Ovis aries: one gene and its partners. The protein of the gene in region 2 purifies or fractionates together with the protein of the main gene of each other region. This does not show direct contact. Links are inferred from orthologs where the notes say so. Each region holds a gene or a part of one and is shown on either strand. Other genes may lie near its edges.

Region 1 (3,745 bases), on a different chromosome or scaffold from region 2:
TTCGGCCTCCGGAAGTCGAAATGGCGCTGTAGACACCGGTGTAAGAGCCTGAAACTTTCCGGCCACTATCGCCCAGGTGGGCTGTGGTCAATTCACCTGAGGAGTTTTGAAGAATGCACATTCTGAGGCCCCACCCCCGGGTGGTTCTTTATTATCCGATGTGGAGCCCGGAAAGGTGCCACCTTCTAAAAGCTGATTCAGAGGACGAAAGTCTGCAACCTCCGCTCTCGTCCCAGCTGCGCTTCTCCCTCCCCACCTCTCCGCCCCCGCAACTCGTCCCAGACCAAAGGGAGGAGCGCTGTTTCCCGGTGGTAGGGTGTCAACCTCGTAAAACCGCAACCTGGGGTCAGCCGGGTCTGGGGCGCCGCCCGGGCTCCGCCACGCCCCTCCCTCCGCTCCCCAGCCAGGCAGGCAAAGCCCCCGTCGCAGCCCAGCACCCACACCTTTTCCGATGACTTCCAGCAGCTCCTTTTCCTCCTGGGTCAGCTCGCCTTTCTTTATGTGAACCATTGCTTCCGCCAGCTTGACGGCTATTCTGTGTCTTCGGGAGTACTAAAAAGAAACGACGTTTCTGTATTAGGAAAGCCAGCCGCAACGTTAGGCAACTTGCGACTAGGACACTAAGTAGCCAACCGCGGAAGCATTCGAATTCTCTCCTCCTTCCAGGAGCTGGCGAGCAGCGGGCGAGCTCGGGCGAGCCGGGCGGGCGGTCTCCGCAGGCCCAGCGGTCGTCCCCGCCCCCCGCGCCTCGTTGGCCCGGCAGGGAGGAGGAGCTGCAGGAGGCAGCGGCGAGGCTGTCCCATTGGAAGGGCCTGGGGAGGAAAAACCAAATGGAGAAAATCACTGGGGGGTAATTAAATGCTTCTTGCACGTTTCCCCCAAGCCACTCTTTCCGGTTCAGATATTTAAGGACACACAATAATTAAATTCTCTATCTGAAACTTCTGTGTTCAAAAATTTCTTCTTTGGGCATGCATCTCCCTAGTTCTCGCTATACACCCCCCCCTTTATTTCCCTGGAAGTGGAGCGGCCCGGGCCGGGGGCGGGCTGGGAGGCGGGGCGGCGTGGGAGGCGGGGCTGCGCCGAGCTCCGTGTGGATGTCAATGTGTCTGTCCTTCACTCCTCCATTGTCTGCCACCACCGCTGCCGCTTCTGCCACCGCCGCTGCCGGGATCGCCGCAGCCCCCAGCCTCGCGCGTCGCCGCTACCTCCTCGGACAGGTGAGAAGCAAACCAGGTAGGGCAGGGGAGAGCCGGGAAGCCTTAGACCACCGGAGCCAAAGCCCGACTGGGAGCTTCCCCTCCGGCCGAAGGTGGCCGGGAGGAAGCATGTGCCTGCTCGGGCTGCTTCCTGCCTCTCGGTGGGGAAGCCTCCCCTCCACCCCATTACCATCGCTTATACAGCGTATCGGTGCCCTAGAGTAAAGACCCACCACTCGCCACGTCTGGCCGCCCCGAGAGACCAAGAGCGGGCAGGGGCTGGCCACGCGGTGGGAAGTGGCGGGTGCCCAGCGTCTCGTGCGTGGCACCGCCAGATGCAACTCCGGAGGAAGCCAAGGTTGAGGCTCTCAACTACGGGTGGGGAGGAAAGGAGCTCCCCATTACAAGCGAGGTGAAAGCATGTGAGAATGTCTCTTCTGGCAACCTACCCCTCGCCCCCACTTGTCATCTCCTCCGGCCTCTCTGGAAGCTGTAGAAGAAAACCGGATCCGATCGCGCTGTGTGCCTGTAAAAGGTGTTTGGAAGCAATTTACACGTGCACTAATACTTGATTTAGGGGAGACAGTCAGGGGGAGGGGGGAGGAAGGGCCTCTTCACTCTGCTAGAGTTGCCAGTCTCTTTGTAACTCAGATCTTGAGATTTATGGAAATAGGGAGGGGAGGGGGAAGGGGCGGAGATTAAATTGGTGTTGCTGTCTATATATAGCATTAGATTAGCCTCTTAATCCAACCTTCATTCAACTGTAATATGTAACCTCAAGGTTTCACTATGGGAAGCTAGGGGATAAATACAAGTGTGCACCCTCCTGTGGCTCAGCCATAAGACTTGCTTGCTAATATGAAGTCAGTCATTCCTCCCGGGTGCTTATCCATAACATATTTACAGCATTGGTGAAAGCTGTTTAGAAATTAGTGTTTATGGTTTCTCTACAGTCTAGTATTAGTGTTTCTCCCAAGACCCTTCTGCTTCCAAGAGAATAATTTGAATGATTACGTAGATTTTTTTTGTTGTTGTTAAGCATCCCTCCTCACCACTCTTCCTCCCCTCTTGTGCCATATATGAAGTAAAATGTATTTTCCTCTGGCCTTACACCTTCATTTCTTGGAAGCATTCACTAACACTTCTGAAATCCTGGAAGATGTTCACCCTTATTTCCTGTCTTTAACAAAAAAAAAATTTTTTCCCCCCCTGAATCCCAGATGTTTTTTTTCTAAGGCTTCATCTCTGCAGGCTGGGGCAAATCTGAGCCAGAACATCTCACATGAAAATGGTCTGAAATTATTCAACTCAATGTATAACAAAGAAACTTTTGTTTAGGGATGCTTTAATAATGATGTGACTGTTCAAACAAGTAGTAAGGCTTTTGAGTGACCCATCTTTTGTAACACTTAGAATGCTGCTATTGCCACAGTTACAGCTGATTAAAAACACAGTCTCATGAAGGAGCAACCCACAAACCTAAGAAAATGCTTACAGAGTAACCTTTCCTTACCATGTGATTTAACATCCTATAAATCTGAAACTCCAGTACTTTGGCCACCTCATGTGTAGAGTTGACTCACTGGAAAAGACTTTGATGCTGGGAGGGGTTGGGGGCAGGAGGAGAAGGGGACGACAGAGGATGAGATGTCTGGATGGCATCACCGACTCAATGGACATGAGTTTGAGTGAACTCTGGGAGTTAGTGACGGACAGGGAGGCCTGGCGTGCTGCGATTCATGGGGTCGCAAAGAGTCGGACACGACTGAGTGACTGAACTGAACTGAAGGGATGTTACAGAATTGGGTGCTTCATTGCCAGAATTTCCATGTCTTCTGCCAAATTGGGGCCATGGTTACTTGAAGGTCACACCTGTTTGGCTCACTGAGGTTGTCAGTTTCTAAAGGATAGCAACTTATTACCTGTTTTCCTGATGCCTTGTTGATACTTAGTCCTCTGTGACTGCATTCATTCAGTAAATCTAGGCAGCTAGAAATAAAGCAGCTAATATCTGCCTTGAAATGCATGTAAGTAACATGTTAATTTTAAATTTCTAGATAATGTAATGGGTAGTATTTATCATATGGGTTACATTCATTGTTTTGTACAGTGTTAATATTGAATGTAGGAATCGGATCGGCTAATGAACATAACTTAGACTTGATCAAGGAACTTTTTTTGTATTAAGAATGTGTTCACATCAAAGAAGTTTTGTTGGTAATAAAATAGCTACTGCTTACTGGGTACTTAGTCAGCACCAGATAGTCCACCAGAAGCTTTGTATAGGATTAGTTTAATCATTGTTGTAATGACCCCAAAATAAGCCAATATTACCCCTGTTTCTGAAAATAAGAGGACAGAAACAAAAAGAAGTTAATTTGCCCACAGCCCTACAGTTAGGAAGTATCACAGCCCAAACTGGAACCTAGATCTGTCTCCAAAACCTTTTCTCTTTGCGTTTTTCTCTATCTACGTGGCTGGAAGTAAGGGGGAAAGTATATATTCTTTAGCTAATAGGTAACATGTTCATGTGGTTCAGTGAGACA
Region 2 (3,645 bases):
GCTCCAGGAGCTGCCCCTTTGGCCTGTGGGTGGTCCCAGGCTTGGATAAGAGGACGGGCGGCCGGCGGGCCTCAAACCTGAGGCTTACCGTGGTTTCCCCATGTTCCTTCTGCTCAAAACAGACACAGAATGGAGGTCGGAGATCGTCAACAGCAGAAACTTTGACCGAGAGATTGGCCACAAAAACCCCAGGTAAGAACCAGCCCCTGGCAGGTTCCTAGCCCCGCGTCCTCATCTGAGTAATGGGGCTGAGTTACTTCTGTCTCGCGGGCTGATGAAATGTGGGCTGGGGTTCGGAGGCCCACTCCTGCACCGTGAGCAGAGGCGGGGCCTGACGCCCCTGGCCCTAGGGCCTGGGTATGAGGCTGGGCCAAGTGCCCAGAGGGGTGGTCAGTGGTGGGTGTGGGGAGACCGTCCGCAGGGCTTTCAAGAGCGGCTGCATTTGACGCCCCTGTTCAGGGGTCCGGCAGAGGATGGTTAGCTCAGGGGCAGGGGTGAGGGTGTTGAGACGGGCGTGATGCTGGACAGGGCCTGTGTGGGCTGTGTGCTGTGATGACCTGGGCAAGGCCAAAAAGGGCCTTGAACGTTCCCAGTGAGGCTTGGATGCCGGCAGGAAGGGTCTGGAGGGGAGGGTGTGAAGTCCATGGCAGGGCCGTCTGACAGCTGCGGGGGCAGGGTGGGACAGGCTGGCAGGGGTCCAGGCAAGATTGTAAGAAGCTCTGGGCGATGGGAAGCCAGCGGAAGCTGCCCTTCCTCAGCAGGGGATGGGGTCAGGGGAAGACAGGACTGCAGAGCCGGGCTGGGCTGGGCTGGCAGGAGCCCCCTGGGTGCGGACCCTGCCGTACACCTCCCCTGGGACGGTGGCAGCTCCCCTGGTGCCCCACATCGCCAACAGCTCCCCCCTCTCCCCAGCGCGATGGCCGTGGAGTCGTTCACCGCAACAGCCCCCTTCGTCCAGATCGGCAGGTTTTTCCTCTCAGCGGGTGAGTCTCAGGCTGTTGGGTAAGCCACCGTGGACCCAGAACCCTGCACTTCCACCCGGTCGCCTCCCAGGAGCCGGGGCCCTGACTCAGTCCTTGGGTGGTTGAAGGGGTCTCCTGCGGCCCTGGGCAGGGGCCAGCCAGCACTTCTCCAGCGTCATATTTTTGGGCTGGGGCCAGAGGGCAGGTGTGTTCCCAGGAAGGGGCCCCTGTGTGGAACCCCCCGAAACCTGTTCAGGGAGCAGCTGCCAGGTGTGGGTCCTTGCCGGGCTGAGCAGGCGGGGCTGAGAGCCCCTCCTCAGGCAGCCCTGGAGGGCAGCCCACATAAGGCCCCGGGCTCCACTCCTGAGCCCCGCGGGCCCCCGGCCCTGAGCCAGACCCCGGAGGGCCTCCCACAGAGAGGGGCTTGCAGGGGACAGCATGGCTGTGAGACTGCCATCGAAACTCCTGGGGCTTGTCCCTGGCCAGACCTGGCGAGGGAGCGAGGACACCTAGGGTCAGCGCGTCGAGGGGCAGGGAAGAGATCGTGTGAGCAGGGCCTGGGCTGTCGGCCGTGTGCTCTGGCCCTCAGCTGGTGCCAGCCATGCCAGGCAGCCCGGCCTCGTGCTGCGGGGCGGCAGGGAGCCAGGCTGGGACGCAGGTGACTGGCCTGGGGAGCAGAGGCCACAGGGCTGAGGCCCTCCCGGGCGGCCGTCACTGCCTGACGGGGTTGGCTTCCTGGAGGCGCTGGAGGCTGAAGGGGCTGGCCCTGTGGACAGACGGAGCTGGAGCAGGGCCTCTGGGTGGGAGAGCAGGTGTCCAGAGGCCCCGGGGGATGCGCCGGCAGGCGACCCTGCAGCCGGGCTTGTGGGGCCAGCTGGGAAGGTGTCAGGCTGCGGGTTTGCAGGCGGGGCTGCAGCAGACACGCACTGTTCTTGACCACCCGCCTCCCAGGGCTCATCGACAAAGTGGACAACTTCAAGACGCTGAGCCTGTCTAAGCTGGAGGACCCGCATGTGGACATCATTCGCCGGGGGGACTATTTCTACCACAGTGAAAACCCCAAGTACCCCGAGGTACCCAGCGGGTTCAGGCGCTCGATGGCAGAGGTCGGGGCCCCTGAGTCCCGCCGCCGACAGCGCGCGCGAGTCCGAGCCGGCAAGGGTGGAGGGAGCGGCTGTCTGCGCAGTGGGGCTACCTGGGCGCGGGTGGGGGTGGTGTGACCCCCTCGTGGGCGGGTGGGCGCCCTGGGCCCCAGCTCGGACTCCTACCTCCCTCACGCGCCTCTCTTCCACCCCAGGTTGGGGATCTGCGCGTCTCCTTCTCCTACGCGGGGCTGAGCAGCGACGACCCTGACCTGGGCCCCGCTCACGTGGTAAGCGGCTCCCCAGGCGGACAAGGGGGGCCTCCCAGGTGCAGACACCTGGGCCCAGGTGTGTGCTTAGGGCATACCCCTCCCCGTCGTGTGTGCGTACATCCACGGGCCCCAGACGGGCAAGTGGCCCTGGAGGGTCTCAGCGCGGTGCCTGGAGAGGGTCTTCCAGCCCTGTGCAGGCGCTCTCCCTGGGCGCTGACCTCTGCTCTGTAAATGCTTGGTCCTGCGCTCCAGACTGTCACCCCCGCCCCGCCCCCGCCGGGTCCTCCCCAGGGCTGTGGAGGGAGCAGCCCAGCGGGAGCGCCTCCCCCAGGCCCACGTGGCGGCAGGGGCTGGGGCGGCCCGGGGCTCCCTGCTGCCTTGGTGCACAGTGAGGAGGGCAATGGCCCCACGGGCAGATGGCCCCACAGCTCTGAGCCAGAGGTCTCTGACCAGGTCACCGTGATTGCCCGGCAGCGAGGCGACCAGCTGGTCCCCTACGCCACCAAGTCGGGGGACACCCTGCTTCTCCTGCACCACGGGGACTTCTCGGCAGAGGTGAGCGGCCGCGGCGTGCCGCGTGGCGCACTGGTGCAGCTCCAGTGCTCTGGTCACCAGCCGCCCCCACGGAGGCAGAGCCAGGGCCGTGAGGCAAGAGAAGGCAATAGAGGGTGAGGTGTCCAGAGAGAGGGAGCGGTGAGCAAAGCAGAGAATCCCCCGGATGCCCAGAGGTGGCAGACGTGGTAACAGGAGCCTCCTTAGGCAGCGGGTGGCGAGCAACATCTTTGCTGAGTCCCAAGTGAAGAGCCGGGTGGGTCAGTCTTGTCGCAGCCCAGGGCCCCCGTTGCCAGGGCCAGGGCGCCGTGTGGCCCTGAGCACAGAGGGGCAGGCAGAGGCCCCTTCGAGCTGCGTGTGAGCTGGGGTGAAAGAGTGAGTTTTGCAGGACCAGGTGAGTGAGGGCAGGCACCCCCAGGGAGACCCGCGTACCCCCATCCTCAACATAGGGTCAGGCCTCACCCACGCCACGAGGACAGGGTACAGAGAGGGGCCTCTAGCCCAGCGCCTGCCGGCGGGGCGGCGTGAGACCCCTTGGTGGGCTGTGGCCACCTCCCCTCCCTGCTTGTCCTGCAGGAGGTGTTTCGTCGGGAACAGAAGAGCAACTCGCTGAAGACGTGGGGCCTGCGGGCGGCCGGCTGGGTGGCCATGTTCATGGGCCTCAACCTCATGACACGGATCCTCTACACACTGGGTAGGTGGGCAGATGGGGCCTCTTTGGCCCTCACCGCCCACTGGGTGCGCTCAGCCCCTGCTGTGACCTCAGGGCCTTGGGAT
Region 3 (3,745 bases), on a different chromosome or scaffold from region 2:
CGGAGACATCTGGGGAAGGGAGTAGTCTTCTGGGAAGACTCCTGGGCTTTGTCGTTACCCCGTTGATCAAGCTCTGCCAGTTAATTTATTACCTTGCCTTTGGGATCCTGAAGTACACTGTGTATTTCCTCTGGTATGTCACCAAGCAGGTGATTAACGGTCTAGAAAGTTGCCTTTATCGCCTGGGGTCAGCCACCATCACCTACTTCTTGACCATCGGGGAGGAACTGGGCAGCATTCCCTGGAAGGTCCTCAAAGTCACGGTCAGGATCACCAGGGCCGTGCTCCGGATCCTTTGTTGCCTGCTGAAGGTGGTCTGCCGCGTCGTGGGTGTCCCTGTCCGGGTGCTTGTGGACGTGGCCACGTTCCCCGTGTACACCATAGGCGCAGTTCCGATTGTCTGCAGGGACATTGCCATGGGCCTTGGTGGCATCCTCTCTCTGCTCTTTGACACGGCTTTTGGCACCATGGGTGGTCTATTTCAGGTCATCTTTACTGTCTGCAAGCGGGTTGGCTACAAGATTACTTTTGACAATCCTGGGGAGTTATAGAAAAAAAAAATAATGAGTGCCCGGCCCCAGTGAATTTGATTTTTTTTATAATAGAGAAAGCTGGAATATTTTGTCTATACTATGGTTTTCTGTTCACTGTCAATTATATTTTGGCCTTTGGTGGGGGTGTCTGCCTGTTCCAACCTAACCCAAGAGACGTGTTCAGGGTGGGATTATGTGTAGGTTGCCTGTTGGGATGTGGGTGAACTTCCAAGCCGTCCCCTTCAGTTAGTCCCTCTGATACAGGAGACCTTGTGATATATGCTAGTGTTCATTTGTGATCAGTAAAAATTACAGAAGAAGAATCTGGAAGAGGACCACTTTAAACCAAACTGTCTCTGAGAAAAGTAGAAAGGAATTTATTCCTGCTATTACTCTCTGAGACTCAAGACAAAACTGATGTAAGTATTCCTGGCCAATTTGTTATCATTTTGCTTCTCTTTCTCCCCAGCTCAGCTGACTTGGTGAGGTACAGACCACTTCCTTGTTGAAACAGCTCTCTTAGGATATAGAATCTGTTATGTCCCTTAGCTTTCCATGACTCCCAAGGATCTGTAAGGTTGTTTTGTTTCTCCAAAGTTGAATTTTGCTGCATTTTTCCTTTGAGTTAATGGTAAGCATTATATGCAAATATGGCATAACAAATTCTGAATGCAAGGGCTAAGATTGTTTGCCCCTTGAACGCTACCCAGATATTAAAAAGGGAGTGCAAAGATCAGACCTCTGCTCTGAATAGGTGCCGTAGGTCTGAGGATATCCTTAACCAAGCTTGGATTAACAACATATATTAAATCTCTGGCTGAGAAGATACAAAAATTCATATTCTGCAAAATACTAGATCAGTCTTTCTTAAACTTCCAGCAAGTACCCAATAGAGTAAAATGTTCTGACTCTGTCCTTAAATGGTGGTTTTAGTATAAAGGTATAAAAAAATAGTCAGAAAATTATAACTCTTCTGGCCATCTTGGAAAAAAAATTCATAGACACATATATCTAAGTTTATATGTATATAGTCTTGATTCAGAATCATTATCTCAGGAAATTATTTTTATAGTGTGTTTGATGCTAGAAAACATAACTCTCCCATTAAAGCAAGTTATTTATGAGAGCTAATCTCCAATTTATTGATCAAGCACTTGTCATTTTAATTCTTGCACTGAAAAATGATAACAGGAAGAAGCTGAAGCTCCCAAACTTTGCTCTGCCTTCTAGCGCCGAGGGGGAATCATCTGGATTTTTCTGAGTGTTCTAAAGAGTTCCTGTGAGGTAGAGTAGGACCCAGTGTAAACTGCTGATTTGGGGGTGCAGGCCACCATGCATCTGAAAGTTTAGTGCAGAGACCTGGGTCCAGAAAGGCAACGAGGAGAGAAGGATGGGCGAACCATTGGCATCAAGTTGATGCCCAAGAAATGTGAGTGTGATGAGAGTTACTTTTTTTGCAGAAGAATAATGGAATTGGACCCGAAGTACCAGGGCAGCCGGCAAGCTGCCATCCTGACCAATTTCTTACGTGAGGTAGGATAGTGGGACACCAGACCATGAACCTGTCATAGGAAGTAATACACTAGATTATCTAAGACTCTTAGGCAGTATTTTACCAACACTTCTGCTGGTGACCGTAAAAATCTGTAGTCAGGCTTTCCTTCATTTCAGTAGCGTGAGGAGCCATGAAGGAGAAGAGTGTGCCTTTGTACTGATGGGTCAGGTAGAATCCTGGCAGATGAAAGTAAGGGAATTTCAGAGGGGACCAGAGAGATGGTCTGGCCAGAGACAAGCTCAGCCTGACCAAAGCCGCCTCTGATGAGAAAGCTGACGCCTGATGCCAACTGATGGTAGACCGGGAGCCAAGGTCTTCTGCTCGGGTCCTATCCGAGGTGACATCCCACACCTTGGATGTCAGATCTGTGCCTCCCTGGTCTAGGGCCAGTTTTTCTCCATCATCCATCGAACAAACTGGACTCTGATGAATTAAATGGGTTTGGCCCATGTGATGAGGCAACTAGCCGTCCATGCACACCAGTAAGCTTGCTGCCTCCCGTGGAATTAATGTCCCCTCAGAGTACCTATCTGCATACCGAAAGGCCCACGGGGGCCATCCATGGCAGCTTGAGCCCCTTGGCACCATGCAAGAAGCAGGGCATCTAAACTTTTCTCGAGAACCATTCAAAAATGTCTTCCTTTTCAGTTCTAGTTGTTTAGTGTCTTATTTATTTATTATGGTGTGGCCTTTTTTGAAATCTGGAAAGGGATAATAAAGGGAAAACGAATCCCCAAGGTTGGGTGGCTGAGAGCCTCCACTCTGGACTGTGGGTCTTTGTGCCTGTGGCTCACCAGCCCCAGAAGGTGGCCAGACCGCTGGCCCACCCCAGTGAGCCACGTTGGCCTTTGGGGTGGAAGTTTGAGTTGATGAGCCCCGTCTCTGGCTGGAAGGTTTTTCTGTGGCTCTGCTATGTTCTCAGGCCCTTGGAGAGGTCAGCCAGCTCTTCATCACTGCAGAGCTGACTTTCTAGTCTGGATCAGCCACGCCTGTGGACACTCCTCTGTTCCACTGTGCCTTGTGAGTGTTCACTTCAGCATCAGCACTTGCCCCTAAATGCAGACGAAGGGATCTGAAGAAGGAGCTAGAGCGAAACACTGGTCATTCATCCATCCAACGTGCATTTGAACATCTAAGTTGCAGAGACTGACAACACGTGCATCCCATCTTTGAGGAGTTCAGATATCTAGTGGGGAGGATGTGGTGAGCTGATCCATGGACCACATCGTGGTAAGCCTGCAATGGTACTAGCATCCCTGGAGCACAGCAGGAAAACCCACAAAACATGGACGTTGGGGAAGCCTTTATAAAGGATGTGATGAGTCAATCTGACATTTTCAAGCTATGTACAATGCTGTGCACCTTGCAATGCTCAATAAAATAACTGTTGACAACTCATCAGCTGTTCTGGAAAATATATAAAGGGGAGAATCTTGGAATGAGGTTTGGAGGGTTATCTTTGATTTTTTTTTTTCCATTTTCTTCTTGATTGACATTAACTCAAGCCATTTCCACTCCCATCTGGATTTTTTGTTTTAATTTTTTAATCATATATGAGAAAACAGGTTAGATCAGTGAAACAGGCCCTGAACCTTCTTTTCCACGTTATTTCTCTGAAAAGCTATTTGGGACATGAAATATTTGAAGCACCCAGGAA

Evidence for each region.
Region 1: the proteins of TMEM43 (region 2) and BZW2 purify together in Homo sapiens (affinity purification with mass spectrometry; 3 studies listed by BioGRID and IntAct, counting the BioPlex papers as one, with this or other methods). This does not show direct contact. The link is inferred for Ovis aries from reciprocal best matches to the Homo sapiens genes TMEM43 and BZW2.
Region 3: the proteins of TMEM43 (region 2) and ENDOD1 purify together in Homo sapiens (affinity purification with mass spectrometry; 3 studies listed by BioGRID and IntAct, with this or other methods). This does not show direct contact. The link is inferred for Ovis aries from reciprocal best matches to the Homo sapiens genes TMEM43 and ENDOD1.

The regions. Positions count from the first base shown.
Region 1 is NC_056057.1:26,115,025-26,118,769, forward strand, and holds the start of BZW2 (eIF5-mimic protein 1), read left to right. Parts: upstream 1-1,118; 5' UTR 1,119-1,236; intron 1,237-3,745. Other genes in the region: ANKMY2 (ankyrin repeat and MYND domain-containing protein 2), read right to left, coding at 444-510. UniProt on the Homo sapiens protein: Translation initiation regulator which represses non-AUG initiated translation and repeat-associated non-AUG (RAN) initiated translation by acting as a competitive inhibitor of eukaryotic translation initiation factor 5 (EIF5) function.
Region 2 is NC_056072.1:57,993,143-57,996,787, reverse strand, and holds part of TMEM43 (transmembrane protein 43), read left to right. Parts: intron 1-122; coding exon 123-192; intron 193-912; coding exon 913-983; intron 984-1,913; coding exon 1,914-2,035; intron 2,036-2,259; coding exon 2,260-2,334; intron 2,335-2,769; coding exon 2,770-2,871; intron 2,872-3,444; coding exon 3,445-3,562; intron 3,563-3,645. UniProt on the Homo sapiens protein: May have an important role in maintaining nuclear envelope structure by organizing protein complexes at the inner nuclear membrane. Required for retaining emerin at the inner nuclear membrane.
Region 3 is NC_056068.1:14,965,438-14,969,182, reverse strand, and holds the end of ENDOD1 (endonuclease domain-containing 1 protein), read left to right. Parts: coding exon 1-551; 3' UTR 552-3,486; downstream 3,487-3,745. UniProt on the Homo sapiens protein: May act as a DNase and a RNase. Plays a role in the modulation of innate immune signaling through the cGAS-STING pathway by interacting with RNF26.